3 linked regions of the Elephas maximus indicus genome follow. The protein of the gene in region 1 purifies or fractionates together with the protein of each later gene. This does not show direct contact. Links are inferred from orthologs where the notes say so. Each region holds a gene or a part of one and is shown in the gene's direction. Other genes may lie near its edges.

The links. The genes of interacting proteins can lie anywhere in the genome.
Region 2: the proteins of CEP290 (region 1) and IQCB1 purify together in Homo sapiens (co-immunoprecipitation; 8 studies listed by BioGRID and IntAct, counting the BioPlex papers as one, with this or other methods). This does not show direct contact. The link is inferred for Elephas maximus indicus from reciprocal best matches to the Homo sapiens genes CEP290 and IQCB1.
Region 3: the proteins of CEP290 (region 1) and PNMA2 purify together in Homo sapiens (co-immunoprecipitation; 3 studies listed by BioGRID and IntAct, with this or other methods). This does not show direct contact. The link is inferred for Elephas maximus indicus from reciprocal best matches to the Homo sapiens genes CEP290 and PNMA2.

Annotation. Positions count from the first base shown.
Region 1 is NC_064822.1:151,779,479-151,787,454, reverse strand, and holds the start of CEP290 (centrosomal protein of 290 kDa), read left to right. Parts: upstream 1-4,975; 5' UTR 4,976-5,087; exon of another isoform or gene 5,088-5,246; 5' UTR 5,247-5,463; exon of another isoform or gene 5,464-5,692; intron 5,693-5,823; exon of another isoform or gene 5,824-6,006; intron 6,007-6,556; 5' UTR 6,557-6,584; coding exon 6,585-6,686; intron 6,687-6,838; coding exon 6,839-6,916; intron 6,917-7,931; coding exon 7,932-7,976. UniProt on the Homo sapiens protein: Involved in early and late steps in cilia formation. Its association with CCP110 is required for inhibition of primary cilia formation by CCP110.
Region 2 is NC_064819.1:12,353,630-12,360,594, reverse strand, and holds the start of IQCB1 (IQ calmodulin-binding motif-containing protein 1), read left to right. Parts: upstream 1-3,945; 5' UTR 3,946-4,177; intron 4,178-6,965. Other genes in the region: EAF2 (ELL-associated factor 2), read right to left, coding at 3,656-3,764. UniProt on the Homo sapiens protein: Involved in ciliogenesis. The function in an early step in cilia formation depends on its association with CEP290/NPHP6.
Region 3 is NC_064840.1:47,007,931-47,015,778, forward strand, and holds the start of PNMA2 (paraneoplastic antigen Ma2), read left to right. Parts: upstream 1-4,828; 5' UTR 4,829-4,898; intron 4,899-7,381; exon of another isoform or gene 7,382-7,384; 5' UTR 7,385-7,509; intron 7,510-7,812; 5' UTR 7,813-7,848. Other genes in the region: DPYSL2 (dihydropyrimidinase-related protein 2), read right to left, coding at 4,067-4,420.

The DNA of each region.
Region 1 (7,976 bases):
CTGCACAATGCTGTCGCACATTATTTTTCTGGGCGTGCTGTGTGTGTTATACGTGTGGGCCCATAATTTATGTAGGCACATTACTTGGAGAAAATATGGTGCTTGATTGCTATACTCAAAGCTGTGACTTTCATGAGTGTTAGGGTTCTTGGGAATAAAAACCCCTATTACTGGGGACTGCTCCTTGAAGTTTCTTTTATCTTCAGTTCATCCCGCTACATCAGAAAGTCCCTACTGTCTCCTTGTAAACTGGTAATATTTTCAGCTTTTCTTACTAAGGTCTATTTATAACTACACCTCTTTCCCCAACTTCTGTTCCTGCAGGTTGCTTTTTTGGACAGAACCTAACATGACTCCATAACTGAGCTCATGAGCCTACACTAGAGCCAGCTCTCTCTCCCTTTTTCTAATATTAAGCTCCCTTGGGGAATTTTAAAATTCTATTATCTCTGCCCTTCATAACCTCTGTACAGGTGAGTGGATGAGTTTTAAGAAGCATCATGTTTGTTTATCAATGAGGTGCTAATCATCACTGAGGGGATGGCACTGCAAGATGTACACTCTTCATGCCTACTCACTAAATATTGGTAAAGTACCCCAACTATTATGACAACTAAAATAAAAATGTAAGCTTATAATGTCGTGGCTCAGTAATTTGGGCTGCTGGGTTCAGCTGAGTGGTTCTTCTACTGGTCTTGACTGGGACCACCAACAAGGCTACAGTTATCCCCTGGCCGGACTAGGGCTGGATAGTCTGAAGGATAGGAGTCTCAGCTTGGAAAGCTAATCTCTGCTCAATCACATTCACCAGTAGGTTAGCCTGGGCTTCTTTAAATGGTGATCTTAGAGCAGATAGGAGAATAAGTCCCACCCAATGCGCAAACTCTTTTCAAGCCTTTGCTTATTTCAAATTTGCTACTATCAATCAACTAAGTTAAACCCAGAAGCGATGTGGCAGAGGTTCTAGTGGGCCAAGACAATAGAATTTTTGAAGATTCCCCAAGGGAGCTTAATATGAGAGAAAGTTAAAGTTTTAGGGCACGCTCGTGAGCTTAGTTGTGTAATCATCTTAGGTTTTGTCCAAAAACACAAACTGCAAGAGCTGAGGTGTTTGTGCGTGTATATGCGTATGTAGTGGGGGAGGGGGGAGGTTAACAAGGGCATAGAGGAAGGCATGACACTGGGAGACTACTTACTATATAACAGTGTAACACACCATTGTTGTTTGCTGTGTGAACTTTTCTTTTTTCCAGGCACGGTAGCATATTCACACACACGCATATAATGTTAGTGGCTGGGATCACTGGTTTATATCTGGTACAAAAACGGGATGTCACTATATATCTTATTATAGGTAGTTCCCAAGTTAGACAACGAGATTCGTTTCTGTCTTTAAGTTGAATTTGTAGGTAAGTCGAAACAGATACACATGGTTCTTACTGAGCATCAGTTAGTCAAACGTTTGTTTTCCTATATAGTATGTATTTTACCTTTCTATGCATAAACACTTAAAAACCACTGTCAAACAGCACAATGTTTTCATGAGCGTCACAAAGTAGTGCCTGCGTTCGTTATTATGAACCACTGTATTAACTCAAATTAACATAATAGGTTTTATGCCAGCCCATTCTTAAGTACGAGTTTTCCTTAAATAGGATGTTTGTAACCTGGGGACTGCCTGTACAGCTATGATTTGTTTTTCCACATCACTAATCATTTTATAGGAAACCCTGGTGGTGGAGTAGTTAACAGTTCAGCTGCTAACCAAAAGGTCAGCAGTTCAAATCAACCAGGCACTCCCTGGAAACTCTATAGGCAGTTCTACTCTGTGCTATAGGGTTGTTATGATGCAGAATAGACTCAATGGCAATGGGTTTGGTTTTTGGTTTTTTTAGTCAGTTTATAAATAGAGGACTGCAAATTGTAAAACCAAATACCTTCACTTGGCAACAACATCCTTCAATGGACAATTAATTACATTTAATAATACAAATTTAAATATTTCTTCATCATGAACGTTTCCTATTACCATTGCTCCATTTTCTATGTTCTTATCTTTAAGAATACTTATTACCAGGAACTTCAATATCTGAGACCAATAGTCTATATAATTATCTTCTCTAACATTTAAAATTTTTTCTTTACTGCATTTTCAAAGAATTATCAAATTAATTTTTTATGAAATCTATATCCTGAAATTTTACTGGGAGCAGATTTTTTCTCAAGTATTCTAGCATTTCTTTGAATGAATCTGTTTCAGCAGGGGGCAACTTGTTATGGATTGAATTGTGTTCCCCCCAAAACTGTGCATCAACTTGGCTAGTTCACGATTCCCAGTATTGTGTGATTGTCCACCATTTTGTCATCTGATTTGATCCTCCTATGTGTTGTAAATTCTACCTCTATGATGTTAATGAGGTGAGATTAGCTGCAGTGATGTTAAGGAGACAGGGCTCAATCCACAAGATTAGGTTGTGTCTTAAATCGACCTCTTTTGAAATATAAAACATAAAACGGAGAAGCCAGGAGAGTAGAAAGAGGGGGATCTCATACTACCAAAAAAGTAGGGCCAGGAGCAGAGCATATCCTTTGGATTCAGGGTCCCTGTGCTGAGAAACTCCTAGACAAGCGGAACATTGATGACAAGGGCCTTCCTCCAGGGCCCACAGAGAGAAAAAGCCTTCCCCTGGAGCTGGTACCCTGAATTCAGACTTCTAGTCTACTAGACTGTGAGAGAATAAACTGCCATCTGTTAAAGACGTTCACTTGTGGTATTCCTGTTATAAGGGACCCTGGACAGCCAAGACACAGCTCTACCAGAGAACTGGTCCTTTTCACCTGAACCACAGAATAACTTCGAACTGCAAGTGAAGATTACTCATGAATTATAGAGATACAAAATTTAATGCCTTCAACATAACTGAGTGTTCACTCATTGCAATGATCCAAAAATTATTACAGTATAATTATCAGAAAAAAATAAACCTATAAAAATTTTTATATGAATCTGGGAATATTTAGTCTGGAAAGGAAAGTTCTCCCAGGTTAAGGATTCCATTGTGATTATATCATCTTATTCAATAAGAGCAATCTACTACATTCTATTTTTAAAGTCTGCAAAACTTTGTTAGGCCTGCAAAGTTTGCAAAGTCTGCATGTCTGGTGACTCCTACTAATCTTTCCAGTCTCATGCTGTGGGAAGACAAGTATCAGCTTGTTGCAAACTCATCCTTCCCCGTAAGAACAAGGCGAAACAAAACATTTATTATAAACAGTGGATATTAAATTTCTTATGGCCATGCTTTATTTTAGACACTGGGAAAGTAAGCAACCACTCATTTTTCTGATAAACCAAAATCAAAAACCTGTTGCCGGGGAACTGATTCCGACTCATAGCAACCCTATTTTTCTGAGAAGGTAGCTGAAAGTATATGGAAAATCATCTAAGGAATACAGGCTGGTTGGTAGAGAAAACAGAGGTAGCAATTATAAAAGGCAAATCTTTCTTATGAAGTGATTTTGGTCAGAAAAAATTCTTCATAAAGGCCTAAGGAAGAAAAAAGGCAGGTCTAAGCAAGTTATTTATTTATTTATTTTTTAAGCAAGTGTTCCTATAAGAAGGCCATTCATTAAACTGAAACATAAATCCCTTCTCTTTGTGAAAACTGACTGATGAAGAAAATTAGATGAAAAGTAATGAAGAGTTTTAGCGATTTTCCTCAAAATTACATACTGAGTGACTGGACTAGAACTTGAGTTAAATTTCCTGATTTTTTATAGCTAGGTACAAAGAGACTGCAGCACATAAGAACCTAGGCCTTAGCTAACTTGTTTTCTGCTGTATCCCCAGTGCCTAGTGGAGCGTACAACTTCAAGTTTATTGTCAGAATCAGTTAAACTATGACATTTAAGTACAATTTCGCTTTGGATTTGTACTGGTAGCCAAAAGATTGGCTGGTGGATTTCAACTGCCAATCTTTTGGCTACCAGTCCAGCTCTTAATTAACCACTGCGCCACCACTGAGGACAATATAAACACGTATCTCACTGCATTCCTATGAAAATTAAGTGAGAAAATGGATAGTTTTTGGCATGTAACCTTTTAGTAAAGGATTACACAAAATTATCATTCCTCCCAAAGGTCAGCAGTTGGAACCCACCAGCTGCTCCGCGGGAGAAAGATATGGCAGTCTGTTTCCCTAAAGATTACAGCCTATGGGGCAGTTCTTCTCTGTCCTGTATGGTCACTAAGAGTCGGAATCCACTTGATGGCAGTGGGTTTGGTTTTTAATACAAACTTGTCTTTAAAACTTATCTCACAAAATCACTACCTGTTTTTATTTTCTACTGAGCTAATTTTTTGTTATTACCCAAACGTGGTTTGGACAGAAATCTATCATTTATCTTCAAAATACTATCAGTCATAAAAAAATAAGTACAGATGAGAAGCACTGGTCCATATAGTTGGAAAAGTCATTTCAATTTCCAGTCTACTATTGATTTTTTATTGCAGAATAGGAAACCCTGGTGGCGTAGTAGTTAAGTGCTACGGCTGCTAACGAAGAGGTCGGCAGCTCGAATCCGCCAGACACTCCCCGGAAACTATCGGGCAGTTCTACTCTGTTCTGTAGGGTCGCTATGACTCGACGGCAGTGGGTTTGGTTTTTTTTGTTTATTGCAGAATAGAAACCCTGATGGTATACTGGTTAAGATCTACGGCTCCTAATCAAAAGGTCCGCAGTTCGAAACCACCAGGCCCTCTATGGGGGCAGTTCTACTCTGTCCTATAGAGTCGCTGAGTTGGAATCGACTCAACCGCAAAGATTTGGTTTGTTTAGTCCAGTATGGCCGAAAGCACAGAGATGGACCAAAACTTAATAGGAATAGCAGCGACGAACGCCCGACAAGCGCTACCATAAAAGGGCAGCCCCCTCGGTTATCAAGCGACAGAAGCAGGACTAAGATCTCTTCTCTCTAAACCCCAGCACTAGCCTGGATAGGTACTAACCTTTTTGCTCTCGAGTTTTCACTCTACCCTAGCTCCTTAACCTTGGAGCCTTCAATGCGCGCAGGAAAAGGTGCTACAGGTAAGGGGGTAGGGTCAGAAGAATGCGGTGTCCGCTTCTCAATTCCTCAGTAACCCCAAATCAAGGTCTCGGCAGCGTTGCCCCCACTCCACTGTATGGAGAGAGATTCCGATGCCAAAAAAGGGTAAAACTTTTTTTTTTTTTCTTTTTTCTTTTCAGAAGGCACCACCCAGGGCGCCGCTGGCAAACATCTGAGAAGGCGGGGTCTTAACTCCTCTTCAGATCCGGGCGGGGCCCTTCGGACGCAAAGGTAGGAGATTCTGTAAATCCGGACCGCTCCTTTCAACCCCTCCCCCGCCGCGGACCGACAGCTCGACCTCACCTGGGAGCGGCTCCACCGATGGCTGCTTAAGGAAACCTCAGGAAGAGCGGCCCGGTGAGTGACGCTACCGACGCCACAGTCATGGTCTACCTCGCTCAGTCCACCAGCGCCGACGCGCCTCAGCCACCGCGCCTCCAGCCTCCTGGTCCTACCCCTGCCGTCCTGGTATAGTCGCACTGCACGCTGGGAACGCCCTACATCCCAGAGACTTCAGCTCCCAGCGTACACATGCTTCCGAGCAGAACTGCACGCCGGGATTTAGAGTCTTCATCCCACTCCTTCTCCTGCTCCTTAACCCCGAGTCGATGTACCCCCCCGCCCCCGCCCCCGCCCCCGCCCGGGGAATCTGAACGTAAAGCATCATTCACCGCCGTGAAATGTAGCCTCCCCTTGCATCCGGGACCTTGCTCTGGCCTTGGCTGGGTGGGGAATGGTGTCGCCTAGCAGCGGCTGCCGCTTCTGCTTGCTCGGGACCGGTTGGCGGAACCAAGAGGCCGGGTGGAACCGCGCTGAGAAGCGATCGGGGCGCGGCAGCGGGGCTCGGTTTGGTGCGTGCGATAAATGAGGGGCCGCTGGTGGATCCCAGGCTTGGTCTAGGTGGGTGGCTCCCGGTGAGCGGGAGCTACAATTCTGCATAGGTTTTTGGCCTCAGGGCCCATTTGCAACAGCTCAGCTTCCCCGTCTCTTCTACCTCTGGTCTGCAATTCTTTTGCCTTCTTTTTGTTTCAGCCCTGGTTTCCCCGGTCCATCTGCGCTCATAGTAACCAATTTTTTTTACGCGGTTTTTGTACCCAGTTACTACTAATGCGAGCCAGGGGTCATTTTTTAGCCTTTACTGCACCTCTGCGCTTAGCACCCTTGGATGTGCGCGCGCTTTGGTGGTAGGAGAGGGTGAGGCAGAGGACCCAGAATCTTACCCTCGACCTGAATTAGTTTTAGCCAGAAAGCTGCCATATTTTATTTAGCAGGAACAAGAGTTTCTTCTGACTGCGTTAGTCGTCTGCTGTAGTTCTGATCAGGGTTATTTTGCCTACTTAACTGTTTTGCAGTTAAGCAGCAAAAGCTCTTCGTTAACTAGCTCAGGCAGTTATAGTGAGTCAATAATGCTGTTTACTTTGGAAAATCTGATACTCCGGTTTTGTTACAGAAGGTAAAGCACGGTGAAAGAATTCAACATGCCACCTAATATAAACTGGAAAGATATAATGAAAGTTGACCCAGATGACCTGCCTCGGCAAGAAGAACTGGCAGATAATTTGTTGATTTCTCTATCCAAGGTGCTTAATTGATAAATAACACATGGATGTACATTTTTTTTTGTTGTTTATGTATGTGTATGATTAAGTTGTCACTGACATCATTGAATGGTGCAACCGGAAGAGTTCTTGTATTTTGATTAAGGGTTAAAGTTGTTTGTTTGTTTACTTAGGTGGAAATAAATGAAATAAAAAGCGAAAGTCAAGAAAGCTTGATACATCTTTTCAGAGTTACTCAGTCCCTAATGAAGGTTTGTATCCAATAGGCTTAATACTTTTTACTATCTTAAATAAGATGATCTTTGTGAAAGTACTTTGTGAAATCTAAATTGCTATGAGTCAGAATCAACTCGATGGCATACAACAACACAACAAATTGCCACTCAAAAATATCTCCATGTGATTGAGAGCCTTCAGTGTGTAAAACATTGCAGTTTCGTACTGTAATGTTCCTAAAAGAATGTATAGGGGAAACAATGAGTATGTTTAAAGGTAAGTAAGTATGTGCTGAGGTGCAAATGAATAATGCAGACAATGACTGCTATGGGAATTTGTTAGGAGGGGGAGAGATTTAAAAGTTTGAGGGAATCTAATAAAGGATAATAACTAGTCTTAGGAAAGTAGAGGGGTATGGTAAGATGGCAAGGGCATTCTAGAGCTGGGGGTTACTGTAAATAAAGGCAGAATAGATAATATGCTTATTCTTTACATTGAAGGAGATAACCGCAGAAAGCATGTAGCAGATTGTAGAGGAAATAGACATTAGTGGATAGTTTCTTATAGGCTATGGAAGACCTAAAGATATATTTTAAACTATCAACAATGAGGAGCCATTAGACATTTTTGAACCACAATTGATGCAAAAATATACCTTAGGAAGGATAAACTGGGTTTGGTACATAGGATGAATTGAAGGGAGTTGATGCTGAAGCTAGACATAACACAATGGGTTAGAATTAAGAACTGAAATTGAAAAAAGAAGTAGTAAAGAAATTTGTAAAGGAAAAAGTTGCAATACTGACATAAATCTTGAGGGAAAAAGAAGACTCAAATGTGTTTCCAACTGGTAAGAATCTCGAAACTATAATTTTCAATAAGAAAATCATTAATGTATTCATTCAACAAATAATTACTGAATGTCTCTATGTGTTAGGCATTGAAGGCACTGAGAATTAGGATGGTAAATAAAACAAAATCCTTATTCTTAGTGGCTATAGCTAGTGTTAAGACACTGAAATAACTTTTTTTTTTTTTTTTAATGTTTAGATGAAAGCCCAAGAAGTAGAACTAGCATTGGAAGAAGTTGAAAAA
Region 2 (6,965 bases), on another chromosome or scaffold:
GAGACCCAAAATATGACCTTGAGTATATCCCCCCCAAATTTAGAGACCATCTCAAGAATAGATTTGATGCATTGAACACTAGTGACTGAAGACCAGACGAGTTGTGGAATGACATCAAGGACATCATACATGAAGAAAGCAAGAGGTCACTGAAAAGACAGGAATGAAAGAAAAGACCAAAATGGATGGCAGAGGAGACTCTGAAACTTGCTCACAAGTGTCGAGCAGCTAAAGCAAAAGGAAGAAACGATCAAGGAAAAGAACTCAAGATTTCAAAGGGCAGCGCGAGAAGACAAACTATTGTGACGACATGTGCAAACAGCTGGAGACAGAAAACCAAAAGGGAAGAACACACTTGGCATTTCTCAAACTGAAAGAACTGAGGAAAAAATTCAAGTCTTAAGTTACAATAGTGAAGGATTCTATGGGGAAAATATTAAATGACACAGAAAGCATCAAAAGATGGAAGGAATACACAAGGTCATTATACCAGAAAGAATTATTTGAGGTTCAGCCATTTCAAGAGGTAGCATATGACCAGGAATCGATGGTACTAAAGGAAGAAGTACAAGCTGTCTGAAGGCATTGGCGAAAAACAAAGCTCCAGGAATTGACGGAATATCAACTGAGATGTTTCAACAAACAGATGCAGTGCTGGAGGTACTCACTCGTCTATGCCAAGAAATATGGAAGACAGCTTCCTGGCCAACCGAGTAGAAGAGATCCATATTTATGCCTATTCCCAAGAAAGATGATCCAACTGAATGTGGAAATTACAGAACAATATCATTAATATCGCACGCAAGCAAAATTTTGCTGAAGATCATTCAAAAATGGCTGCAGCAATATATCAACAGGGAACTGCCAGAAATTCAGGCCAGTTTCAGAAGAGGACATGGAACCAGGGATATCGTTGCTGATGTCAGATGGGTCCTGGCTGAAAGCAGAGAATACCAGAAAGATGTTTACCTGTATTTTATTGACCATGCAAAGGCATTCGACTGTGTAGATCATATCAAATTATGGATAATATTGCGGAGAACGGGAATTCCTGAACACTTAATTGTGCTCATTAGGAACCTTTACATAGATCAAGAGGCTGTCGTTCAGTCAGAACAAGGGGATATTGTTTGGTTTAAAGTCAGCAAAGGTGTGTGTCAGGGTTGTATCCTTTCACCAAACCTATTCAATCTGTATGCTGAGCAAATAATCTGAGAAACTGGACTGTATGAAGAACGGGGCATCAGGATTGGAAGAAGACTCATTAACAACCTGTGTTATGCAGATGACACAACCTTCCTTGCTGAAAGTGAAGAGGACTTGAAGCACTTACTAATGAAGATCAGAGACCACAGCCTTCAGTATGGATTGCACCTCAACATAAAGAAAACAAAAATCCTCACAACTGGACCAATAAGCAGTATCATGATAAGCAGAGAAAAGACTGAAGTTGTCAAGGATTTCACGTTACTTGGATCTACAATCAACAGCCATAGAAGCAGCAGTCAAGAAATCAAAAGATGCATTGCATTGGGTAAATCTGCTGCAAAGGACCTCTTTAAAGTGTTGAAGAACAAAGATGTCACCTTGAAGACTAAGGTGTGCCTGACCCAAGCCATGGTATTTTCAATCACCTCATACGCATCTGAAAGCTGGACAATGAATAAAGAAGGCCATAGAAGAATTGATGCCTTTGAATTGTGGCATTGACGTAAAATATTGAATATATCACTGACTGCCAAAAGAACGAACAAATCTGTCTTGGAAGGACCGGGCAGTGTTTTGTTCTGTTGCGAACAGGGTCACTGTCACTATGAGTTGGAACGGACTCGGCTGCACCTAACAACAACTACAAAAAGATTATGTGCAATTGCTATGCCTACTTCAACAATAAGAAAAAAATGAGGGCTGAAAACCGTTCTAATGGCTTCTACTGGACTAAGCTGATACTCAAATATCTGGGTTTTTTTTTTTTTGTGGGTGCTATTGTTGCTGTTTTATTTTCATTCCTGCAGCTGGATCATTGACCTATTTCACTTATTCTCTTACACTGAAGGCAGAATTCCAGCATTTTGTGAACCTTTATAAATGAAAGGCTTTAGAGCACTTGCAACGGTGCTTTTCAAAGATTATTTTTTATTTACTTATATTTGTGATTCATGTCCTTAAAAAGAGAGTATATACCCAAGTTATGGGAACAAATATTCTTGAGCAAATTTTTATAATCTTAAACTTAGTAATTTGAAAAATTAATACTATGGACAACAGCCTATAGTGTATAAAGACTACAACATACCTGAGAAGAAAGAGAAAAGGAGAGGGGAGACACTGCTTGAAAGAAAGACATGGAGAAACCAGGTAAGAACCATATCATACTTTTGGAAAATGAGATTAAAGAGGCAGAGGAACTGCAGTCAGCACTACCCGCTGTTTCATTGCGAGAAGCTTTGGACCAGAGAGTAAGGTAAAGAAGAATAAACGACGGCACCGTTGAAGATCTTCTGTTCATGAACATCTCCCCCGCTTATTCTACCAATTGGATGTTAATTTTTCTTTTAAATTTTATTTATTTTGTTGTTGTTACTGAGACTATACACAGCAAAATAATTTTTCTTAAAAAAACCTTTAATAAGAATATTTTGCTTAAATAAAAATAAGTTCCTACAGTCACAATGTAAGTAAATTTTTGGAGAATGTAAATTTTTGTTAGGAGTTTTGGCTGAAACACAGACCAGTTCAAAGCGAAAACCATAAAGGTCTCTAGACGAGCCAGGGCAGAATGACTTAGAAGCTGGGCAAAGGTGAATAAAGGAAGTGAAAAAAATACCTACTTTGCAATTTGCCACAGAAAAATGATCGGTCACGATTTAATGATCTCAAAGTTTCCTTCCAGCTCTAGAATTAATTCTGAGGGTTATTATGCAAAAAAATGAAATTTTACATACAAAATCATAATACGCAACATTCCTTCCTCTAATCTACATCAGTCAAATACTAAAGCAGGAGTTCCCTTTTCAACCTCAACAACATAAAAGCGAACGACTAAAAACTAGTTGCAAAAGACACAGGAAAACCAAAAGGTAGAAGTCACAGGGAGGTAAATACCTTCCGAATAAAGAATGTAATAACACACTGTCCAATAGTTTGATAATATTTGATAACTGACTGAAATCAGAAGTCCCAAGGAAATACAGATTATTGGGATGGTTCAGAACCTCTTCCCAGGAACACACTAAATAAGGACCCTGACCAGCCAGAGGCGAGAAAAAGAGATGATTTCTCCACCAGCCTCAAGGAAGTCCCTTCCCCAGGCACAATGGAGAAGAGCTCGGTTCTTTGCCACCCTGTTAACTGTCACGTTATTATCTGCCTTGCCACCTCTGCCTCAGCCACCCGTCACGTCTCACAGTCCCCTCCGCAGCCCTTCTCCACAAAGTTTCACTTTCCTGCCTGTTGGTCTCAAATTCTTCCGTGGGTTTATGCACACCTGCTGGACTCCAGCTCCTTCTTCCGGCCCCCCTGGAGTCCAGGCAGGGCAGCTGGGTCCCCCACTGTCCAGCAGATTCAGGGGACGGTGGGACCAGAACTCGGAGGGGTTCTGCGCCCACACCCCCATCCCGGAGGCTCCTTTTTCCCGCGGGTCATACCCACTCACAGCGCACAGTGTGGAAGGCGCAGCGCGGTTGCTTCTCGAAAGTCTCGCCCAACTTGAGAACTCGCTCGCGACTGCCGAGGTGCAAGTGTCCCGCCGCTCCATTCATCATTATCCTCTGCCTGCGACTTTGCCGCCGCCGCCGGGCTCGCTACCATCTGCCACCTCAGCCTCAAGTAGCTCCAGCGGCAGCTGCGAGCGCAGCCACGGCAGGCCCCGCCTTCCGCCCGACGCGCGCGGCCCCAGCGGGCGCGCTCGCGCGCTGATTGGCTGCCTGGCGAAGGGCGCCCCGCCCCCTGGCTCGGAGGCGTCTGGTCCCGCCTCCAGAGCCCATCCCGCGTTGCGACGCACGCTGGCCCGGGAAGGCCGCGCCTCTGAGGCGAGCGGTGGGAGAAGGCCGGGCTGGAGGAACCCGAAGCGAAGTTGAGGTAACGGACTGGCTGGCCCGGGGCTGGCCCGGGGGCGGGGAGAGGACCCCTGGATACCGGGAGGCCCGGAAGCCAGGCTCCTGGGGCAAGTAACCAGGTATGTCGGCGCTCTTAACCGGAGGCTCGGCCTGCTTCAGCCCTTTTTGCTCAATGTTAAAAGGGCCTTTTACCGAGTACTTACTTGTGTGGACTCGACGGAAACCGGTTGTGTGGAAACTGAGGTCCGGGATGGGGCTGTATCTGGGCACAAGGCCTGGTGTCTTGCCCAAGGTCTGGGCGCGCCAAAGGCGGGACTGGAACCCTGAGTAAATGAGCCCGCGGACCCCAGAGCCTCGGTCCTTGAACCTGAGGGCAGACGACGCCGTTACCTGAGCAGCCCTTCTCGGACCTCTGTGTTCCTGAGGAAGTGCCTGGTGGAGTTAGGCCTGGGAGAGGAGAAGTGGACGGAGGGAAGAAAGAGGATTCAGAGACGGTAACTGTAGACGTTTGGGATCACTTGCCTTCTTTCGTTTACTTCACAGTGATCCGTGGATGCAGTAACAGGCATCCTATAGGGATAAAAATACGTGACTCCTATAGGATCGAGAGTGGGGCTGGAGCTGGTAGTCTGGCAACAGGGTAATAAAAAAATAGCATCCGTAAATTAATAAATAATTGCCACAATGTTTTTTTTCTGTCAGAGCTTATTAATTTAACGGTAAAGATGGGAGAAGTGTTGCTTTGGAGCCAAATTGAAAAGCACCCAAAAGAAACTTTACAAATGGTTCCCAAAACCAAACCAAACCCAGCCCGCTGCCATCCAGTCGATTCCGACTCATAGGGAACCGCTGATCATTCTTCATTGTAGTTATGTAAAGTGAACTCCCTTACTTCCACCACAGCCAAATTGGCCAGTTTATTGCAGGGCTTCCAACTGGTTCCTTCTGGTTTGGACCCCTGCTGATAAAATGCATTTCCATCCCTAACCTCTTGCTGTCCAGTTGATTCTGACTCCTAGCGACCCTATAGGAGAGTAGAACTGCTCCATAGGGTTTCCAAGGAAAGGCTGATGGATTCAGACTGCCTATTCTTTGGTTAGGAGCTGTAGCTCCTAACCACTGTGCCACCAGGGCTCCATTTCCACCCCAGATATACCAAACCACCAAACCCATTGCTGTTGAGTGGATTTCCACTCATAGTGACCCTATAGTATGGAGTAGAACCGCCCCATAGGGTTTCCAAGGAACGGCTGGTGGATTCAAACTGCTGATCTTTTGGTTAGCAGCAGAGCACTTAACCACTGTGCCACCAGGGCTTCACCCCAGATATACTGACTCACACTCTACAGTTGAACAAGATCCCCAGGTGTATAATAAATTTTGAGAACCACTGTTCTACTAGTAGTTCTCAAAATTGGTCCTTAACCAGCAGCATTAGCATTGCCTGGGAACTTGTTAGAAATGCAAATCATCAGGGCTTCCAACAATTTGAAGCCCTGATTTATTGTTCTAGATGAATAGATGAATGTCTCCTTCAGCCTATCTGCTTGTCTAAATTTCTACACTTGTAAGGCCTACGAGTGGTTAAGAGGAAACCCTGGTGGCATAGTGGTTAAGAGGTATGGCCTCGAGCCAAAAGCTCGGCAGTTCGAATCCACCAGGTGCTCCTTGGAAACCCTATGGGGCAGTTCCACCCTGTCCTGTAGGGTTGCTACTAGTCAGAATCAACACACGGCTAATGGGTTTTGTTTTTCTTGGTTTTAAGACTGTACCTGAGTGCTCAGGTTCTGGAGCCAGAATTTCTGAGTTTGAACTCTGGCTTCATACCTAGCATTGTGATTTTGTGCAAACTAATTAACTCTCCAAAGTTAAGGCTGCTTATTGTTAAAATCAGGGAAAAAATAATATCTCTTAGAATAGGTGCCTTCATGGCGCAGTGGTTAAGCGCTCAGCTGCTAACTGAAAGGTCCGTGGTTCAAACCCACTAGCTGCTCCATGGGAGAAAGATATGGCAGTCTGCTTCCGTAGAGATTACAGTCTCGGAAACTCTGTAAGGCAGTTCTACTCTGTCCTATAGGGTCCCTACGAGTCGGAATTCAACTTGATGGCAGTGGCTGTTTGTTTGTTTGTTTATCTCTTAAAAATTGTTGAGAGGATTAAGTTAGTTAATATATGAAAACTTTTAGAAAAATGAATGGCAAATAATAAGAGCTCTCCAAGTAGTTTTTAATGTCTAGCTCTACCGTCAGAACATTTGAGGGCCGTCCTTGGTGGCTCTCTTCTCTTCTGTATATTAATTATTCTTAAAAAAAAAAAAAAAAAACCTGTCGCTGTTAAGTTGATTCTGACTCATAGCGATCCTAGAGAGCTGCCCCATAGGGTTTCTAAGGCATGGCTGGTAGGTACAAACTGCTGACCTTTTGGTTAGCAGCCTAGCAGCCGAGCTCTTAACCAGTGTGCCACCAGGGCTCCTTAATTATTCTAGGAGATGGGAATTGCTACTTTGTTTATAAGTCTAAAAAACTGGTTCAGGGAAGACCAGTCCTCTGACTTTATTATCTTATCATCTGTGTTATCTATTTGGTGCTTAAGATATTGTATTTTATAGATAGTTAAATGCCTTTTCTTTCCCAACTAGAACATCATTAATCATTGTGACCATTGCATCTAACATAGCGCCCTACACACAGATGTTTGGTGATGATCATGTTTCAGTTACGTTTTACTATGTTAGCCAGGAGGGCAGGAGCTATGTTTGAAGCCCATCTTATTCTTTCGAAATGACTTCCTGTCAGAAATTGGAGGTTCCCATACTGTAACAGGGAAAAAAGCAGAGGGTCAGGAAATTGAGTCTTGGAATATACAAGGTTCATGCCTTTATTCATTCTTTCAACATACATTCATTAA
Region 3 (7,848 bases), on another chromosome or scaffold:
AGTTCTTTGGCGATAAAATGAAGGAAAATAATTAGTATAGAAAGCAATTCAGTACATCACCATGATTAAGAAGCTCTCTAATTACATGGCACTGGGTTCAAATCCCAGCTGCTCTGGCTGTTAATTAGCAAGTTACTTGCCTCTTTTGCCTTCAGATTTTTATTCTACAAAATAACAGTAGTACTTCCTTAATAGAGTTGTTTTTGAACTAATAAAATGTGCATATAAAGCACTTAGCATAAGGCCTACCCCATAGGATCTACAAAGTTTCAATGGGATGTAAAATACTTTGCCTGTGAAACTAAATTGTATCTTGAGAGTTCACTAAATATCTCTGGCAGTGGATCTGAGTTACAGCATGGCATGTTGGAAAAAATATGGGACTTAGTCGGGAAATTTTGGTCCAAATGCTAGTTTTGGCATTTACTAAATAGCAAGACCTTGGAGTAAGTCCCCAAATACTACTGTCAGTTTCCTTATTTATAGAAAGGAAATAATGCCTATCTCAGTGTTGAGACAAGGCTTTAAAAGAATATATTATGTACATTCTAAAATAAAGAATCAAGAAATATAAAAGCCCATTCTAAAGTTATGTAATGCTACATAACTAATAAGGTTTTGCTGGTATAGGGCAGCGGTGGGAATGAACAGCAAGAGACCTCAGTTCTAGTGCTGGGGCTGTCACCTCAGTGCAATGGAATGAAGCACTGTTTTTCTGGACATCACTTTCTTCACCTCCAAAATGAGATGATTAAACAATCATTAGGTTGTTTCGAGATCTGACATTCAATGGTAGTGTATATTCAAATCTATGATCAGTTCTGACTTTCCCTTCTTTCTCAAGGAGGTAGTAGGGGCACTTGCACTAAAGGTCCCTTAAGAAATCCTGGCCTGTTCTTGTTGGGGCTGGGAAAACTGTCTACGCTAACATTGACTTCCATGGCACAGAGCCATAAGTATGTGTACTATGCAACATTCAGGATATCATGACCAGATGTCAATGACAACAGGTTCAATGGCAGCACTTCCCCTCTCTATCCTTGGGCTACAAGGGGGAAAGACGGAAGAGGCTGTTTAGCTAGTGGGAATTTTCTTCGACTTAGAGCTCAGGTGGGGAAGTCTCTCATCCCAAATGTAACCCTATAGGACAGCGTATAACTGCCCCATAGGGTTTCCAAGGAGCATCTGGTAAATTCAAACTGCCCGGCCTTTTGGTTAGCAGCTGTAGCTCTTAACCACTATGCCACCAGGGTTTCCTCCCTTCCCAAAGCCTTGCTAAATGAACAGCAGGACCCCTAGAAGGGCTCATGGGCAAAGCCTCTTCTGAACCATGCCTTAGCAACACCTATAAATACAGATTCAGGGGAGGACAAAGGGCATTAATCAGGCACCCTGGGATTCATTCCCTCTAGTTCTCCCCCATTTCTCTCTGTGCCAGGCCTTCCTACAGAAATGCACTAAAATGCTGGGAGTCACCCTACTCATTAGTTGAAAACTAAGTGATGACTAGTCAATTTGGTCAAAATGGTGGACCCAGCTGTGCTTTCAGAAATCACTATATTATTGTGTGCTGTCAAATCGGTTCCAACCCCTAGTAACCCTATAGGACAGAGTAGAACTGCCCCATAGGGTTTGCTAAGCTGAAACCTTTACAGGAGCAGATTGCCAGGTCTTTTCTCCCATGGAGCAGCTAGTGGGTTCCAACTGCCGACCTTTCAGTTAACAGCTGAATGCTTAACCATTGTGCCACCAGGGCTCCTTGAAATCACCAGTTATATCCATGTACATACATGCACACCAAATGCCTTTTTCCTCTTGTACAGACACGAAATATTGAACACTGTAAGCACCAATCCAGGTAAATGCTCCTGATCTGAATGAAAATAATCCCACAGGAGCAGTCTTTATGCTATAAGTCTAGACTGAAGATGAAAACTCTGGGAGGGCTACAGGTAGGCCAAGACAGAATCTCCCTACTACAAATATTCAGGCAACTGGAGCGGGATTTGATTTGAGGTTTGCTGAGGCTAAAAATGCCCTGGTTTTGGTTGGATGTTATCACTTCAAATCTCTCCCTCCATGTACCATAGGTATACAATTTAGAATTTCTATTAAATTCAGCCAGTATTCAAACAAGTAGCTCTTGTGATCAAACATCTAAGCTTCTAAATGGACAGGAGAAAGAGATGTGTTATTTAACTCATTGCAACTTTGCCTTTCAGACTTGAGTTTTAATTTGCTGTTTTTTTTATGATGGGGTAGCCACTCTTAACACCCCCCAAAAGCCATTTTATAAATGATCTCTTCCTTATTCTCCATAATATACTTCTGCTCCCTCTAGGATATTAGAATTGCCAGGACAACTTGCTGTACATGAGGTTACTCACATAACGATAACGCTATATAAGCTTGGCTCTCACCCAATGCATTCATCTAGGAAAGTATTTCACTTTCAGCTTTTAGTCTAGGTTACACAATTAGAAACTTTTGCTTCAATTGTCTTGTCACTTGCAACAAAGAGAATTTTCTGGATTTGGGTTCTTCTGGTTGACTCATGATAAAATATGTGTATGAGATACTTTCCTATATGAAAACATCAGAGAACAGAGCTGGGGGGAGTGTATAAATTATGAAAATGATCGCAAATGCTTTAACTTCGTTAGACTTGTTCCTATAAAAGTCAAAAGCTGCAAAACTCAATGCCACATCAGGAAACAGGAGCACCATTCTAGGGCCATTACCACCTACTCTATGTTGTTCTCTAAAATGCTTACACTGTAAATGCTTGTTGAACCCCACAATGAACAGGAACAGGCCACTCCCAACCACTCTGGAAGCCCCGTGAGGAAAAGAAACTGCCTTTAAGTTTTTATTGCTAACCTTCCTGCCCCAAAATCAAGGCACACAATAGGTATTCAATAATCATTAATTAACGTCTCATCTTCACAGAAAGCTAAACCTAACGGGTGCAGGAGAAACAGCAAACAAGGGATGAAACATTTTGCACTGTAGAGTATCTGCTGAGAAATTGAGGCTGTGAGGAAAAAATGTGCGAGTATGAAGGTCACCCAGTTAAAGAAAAAGCTGGGGTGTGAAAAAGCTACTGTACTTAAAATGTGCACTGTTCATATTTGTCAGATAATGGCCAACATTTTCTAAAATCAAGGTTTACCAAATTGGACTTCGTTTGACTCATTTACAGTACAAAAGGGCTAATCTTCTTTGACATGCTATTCAAAATGTGAGGGTTTCTTTCTTCCTCCTTTTTTTACCCTTTGAACATAATCCACTTAGTTCCCATTCCCAGAGCACCTCCCAAATAGCGGCAGAGGGAGAGCTCTGGGAAGCCCTTGTTGAGGCACTTAGCGGAACTTTGTTCTCCACATGGGCTATTGAGAAGCGTCTCGGTTTCCTCGGGTGACTCCACATTCTCCCTCACTCTTCTCACGCTGCGACCAGGAGTTAAGGGTGGTGAGATTCTCCTAGGCGAGCCGAAGAGGCGCTGACCATGGTGCTGGCCTCCGATCTCGGTACCCGAGAGCGACAGGCGCCCAAGAAGGTGCAGCCAGAGAGGGCGCAGAGCGGGCAGGGAGCGGTGGTCGGAGCCCCGACCCCTCCCGAACCCGAGGGAACTCACGGGCCTTCACGCGAACCCCTCCTCCGCACGCTCCGAGCTGCATCAAAAAAGGGTGGGGCACCCAGCCACAGCTGCAATCGGAAGCCGCCCGGGAGGATTTAAGAAGAATGAAACCGCGGCCCACTCCCCTCCGCGCAACCCCGGGCCGGGAATCAGCCAGTCCTTTACCCCCCCCCATCCCCCACCTCCCAGATCCAGAGAGGTGCGGGCAGCCTTTGTGGGCGTACAGCCGCCCACCGACGAGCCTCTCCGCACCCTGGGCGGAGAAGGGGCAGGTTGGGTGGGGTATGTGTGCATATGCAGAGAGGCAACATTAAAGAAGGAGCAGGAAAGAGGGTACCCTTGGATTCTCGGGTCTCCACGGAGCCGGGAGGGAGAGGCAACTCCCACACGCCCCGTCCTTCATCTCCTCCGCCCTCCCATACCAACCTGGTCGTTGATGTTCTGCAGGGCTTCCTTGCCCGAGGCCCGACGGATCTCCACCTTCCGGCTCGATTCAACAGATGGCTCCCCGCCGGCACGCCGGCCCTGCCGGGAGTACGGCGGCTGCGGGTCGGGGCCCAAGTGGGCGACGTCCCGCTGCTGAGCCACAACCTGCCCCGAGCCCCGGCCCACCGACAGCGAGTCGAAATCGATGGTTTTGTTCTCCGAGGACCCTTCCACCGGGCAGAACATGCCACAGAATTTCTGTCGGGGCTTGGGGCTGCCTGAGCCCAGCTTTTTAAAAAAGGCAGGGACCTCTTCGTCCTCTGCCTGCTTCCCGGATTGCTTCCTCTCAGCCATGGCGCGATGGCTTGGGGAAGGGTCCTCTTCCTCCGTCTGTCTGTCTGTCTGCCAGTCCCTAAGTCTCCCACTATCTGTGCAAAAATCCCCCGCTGCTGCCACGGATGTCTCTTTCTGCCTAAGGCAAGGTGTACAGAAAGGAAGGAGGGCTTTGGAGCGGGCTGTCTACCCCTCCCAGCCCCTCCCCCTGGCCCTGCTTTCTCCCCCTCCCTGCCCACGCCCCCAGCCTCCGCGCAAGCTCCGGCGAGCGGCGAAGTTAGGCCGGGGAGGGCGGCCGCTGCGGCTGCGGGAGCCGAGAGGCAGCCTGTTCCCTGCAGCTGCGCTAGGAGGGGGGGCGCGGGGCGGGGCGCCGAGGAGGGGAGGGGAGGGGAGGGGCGGGCCACGCCATCTCGAGCCCCACGCTCCGGAAGTGAAGCGGCCAGACCACCGGCTAACGGTTGCCGAGTGCGGGGCCTGATGACCGCTCTCCGGCGCTAGGGTAAGTAGAGGGGCTGGGTATGCGTAGGCGACGACCCGAAAACGCAGCCCCTGGTCCCCTGCCCTCCTCTCCCCCACCTGCCTGGCCCAGGCGCCTCTCCCTCTCACCGCATTGCGGAGATGGAACCGCGGGCTGGGGGCTCCGCGGGTTGGGATCCCTCCCCTTTCCCGGGGTATTTGCTGATGGATGGGGAAAAGGAGACAATCTGGCAGAAGTCAGGACAACTGGGGGGCGTCAGTGGGAATGGGGAATGGCAGGCGGTGCGGAGAATAGGGTGCCATCCGAGGCGCGGAAAACCAAAGCCCCAGTCACCCACGGGCCTTGGTGGGCTGCGTGGAGCAAGGATGAAGCGAGAACATTCTTGCTTGGTGTATCCCCAGGGGTGGGGGGTGCACAACGTGTTCAGAAGAAATGCAGAGGGGCGTAGCAAATGAGGAGGTATAAAGAGAGACTTAAGCCTGTGGTTTATGGGAGTTTTAGCAAGGAGTGCAGTCTGCGGATTCCAGTGCAGCCACTTGTAAAGACAGAGAGGGTGTAGACCCGCTACATTGCCTGAGGGCCCCATGTAATATTTCTGCGCCCCTGCGCCAAGAAGGGCCAAGGAGAGTGTCTTGATTTGATATCTTCCACCGCCCCTCTCCAAAGGGGAAAATACGTAGAATAAAGCCCACTCCCTAAATCTCCAGGCCTTCCTCACGCCCGAGCACCCCGCCTAGTCTCCCCCGCCCCTGTTGCGCACTGCGCCAGAGCAGGGCCAGACGCCACGTGCTTGTGGTGTTAGTGTGTGCGCATCCGCTGGGGACTAGGAGGCAGGGTGCGCACTGTGATAGAATGCAGAGAATTGCGTTTGGGGACAAGAGGGGCAACTGTGTGGAGGTGTGGTGTTTCTATGGGGGTGTTTCAGCCGTGACCACCGGGTCGGTAGGCATTCAGGTGTCATTTTGATTTGTGTCAGTAACGCCGTCGATGCTTACTCTTCTTGTCCTCTTCTTACCGTATATCAATCTCTGCTTCTGATCGAGTGCAGCCCCCCTCTTTTCCTACAGTGGCAAAATTTTGCGAAAATGATGCCCACCCATCCGAGGCTCAGAAGGGAGATCTGGCCTTGCTCTGTGACCAGGGCGGGTTTGGGCTAAGAGGCGATTTCCCGCAGCGTCACCACGCCAGGCATTACGGGCCAAGGATTCAGTACCGTTGTCAACCCTTGTCCCTGGAAGGATTAAATGTGGATCCCCCACCCCTATTGTCAGTGATGGTTTGGTGAATGGGGTTAAATTTGGAGGACGACTAGTCACAGTGTGAAGATGAGCCCATCATAGGTGGGAATGAACCTCAAAATGAGGAGGGGAGAATGAAGAAGAAGAATACACATATGGAGCAGGCGAGAGACCCCCATAGGCAGGTATTCCGGATTTAGCATCAGATAGACTTCTTTTGAACTAAATGCTTTCACGTGAATTACGTTATTACCTACTCACGGCAGCCCTGTTAGATAAATGGGACAGGTTTATTGTCACTATTTTCCAGGTTAGGAAACTGTGATTTAAAAGGATTGAGGGACCTTGGCCAGGGTGACCTATCTAGTTAACTGATGCAACAGTTCCACTGGGGGTCTTCCATCTGAAAATCTGTTCCTTTTCCAGTTTATCCTATTGGTTCTGTTGATGTGAGAAAATATAAGGTTTTCACTTTTTTTTTTTTCCATATCTAAGTACTTCCATCCATGGCCCTATTGGATACCAAGGGTGTTTCACTTGCTTTTTTTATTTGAAAGTCACATTGCAGGTAGGAGCTCACGTCCTTGGGGCTCCTGGGGATAGGAGTAAAATAGCATTTTGTTTTCCTGGCCTTTTGGCACTTATGGTGCCTTCAGCACCTCCTAGAAGGACTCAGGAGATGTACCTGCAACAGGAGCAGCTGCTGTTCTAGCTACAGGTTGGTATCATAGCATATGGACCTTCCTCAGATTGATGGAGATTTTCATGCCAAGGGGAGAATGATTGTAGCACCCTAACGTGTACTCCAGCAACGCTGACTGGGAGGCATCACTCTTCCGACTTTCTATTCCCAGTCTCCACAGGCTTTCCAGGACAAGCTCAGTAGATAGGCTTCTTTTTGCCTTGAATGACCCATTTAAATTCAAATGCTAGGAGAAAAAAGTGTTGTGATAGTAACCATTCATAACAAAAGAAATGCCAAAGACTAACCAGACGTAGCAAAAAAGAATTAGTCCATGATTCCAAGTTTAGTGTATTTGGCCCTAAGATTTTCTTTTTCTAAATGCTATCTATATATTAAATTATTTTTAAATGTTTGACCGATTCCTAACTGGGTATTTTTTAATCAAAGAAAGGAAGCAGTTCAATAGCTGTTTAGTAGAGCTAGCTAAATCGTGAAAGATTGTCATATTTTTAATAAGTGTAGAAACAGTCTTTATGACTGCATATTATTGAGCTATAAAACCACATGATTTTTATGTGTAGCAGGACATCTTGACTTGGCTGGAGCTAAGACTCAGAGACACCATCGTGTGGAGTTGGGTGACATCATCCTATACTAGAAGCTGAATAAGCTGTTCACTCTCAAGGAACATTCTGGAACATATAAACAGGTATTTAGCCACATCTTTTGATTTCATCCCTTATGTGGGAAAAATCTTGGATCTTGTCCAAAAGTGGGGTTTAGACATTGATTGACATGTCTGATGAGCATATGCTGGGGAAGCTGTATTTCAGAGGGTCCCCAAGAGAAAATAAAAAAGTCACTATAATCAAAGAAGAATTCTTGACAGAGTGGGCTAGACACAGGTACAATGTAAGACAAAACCCCTGGTCTACCCCCACTTCCTTCCCAAACTAGAATATGTATGCTTCCTGGTATGCTTCAGTGGTAAAACTGAAAATTGTTTCACTAGGAGTCCAAGTCACGCTACTGTGAGACTTCTCTTCAA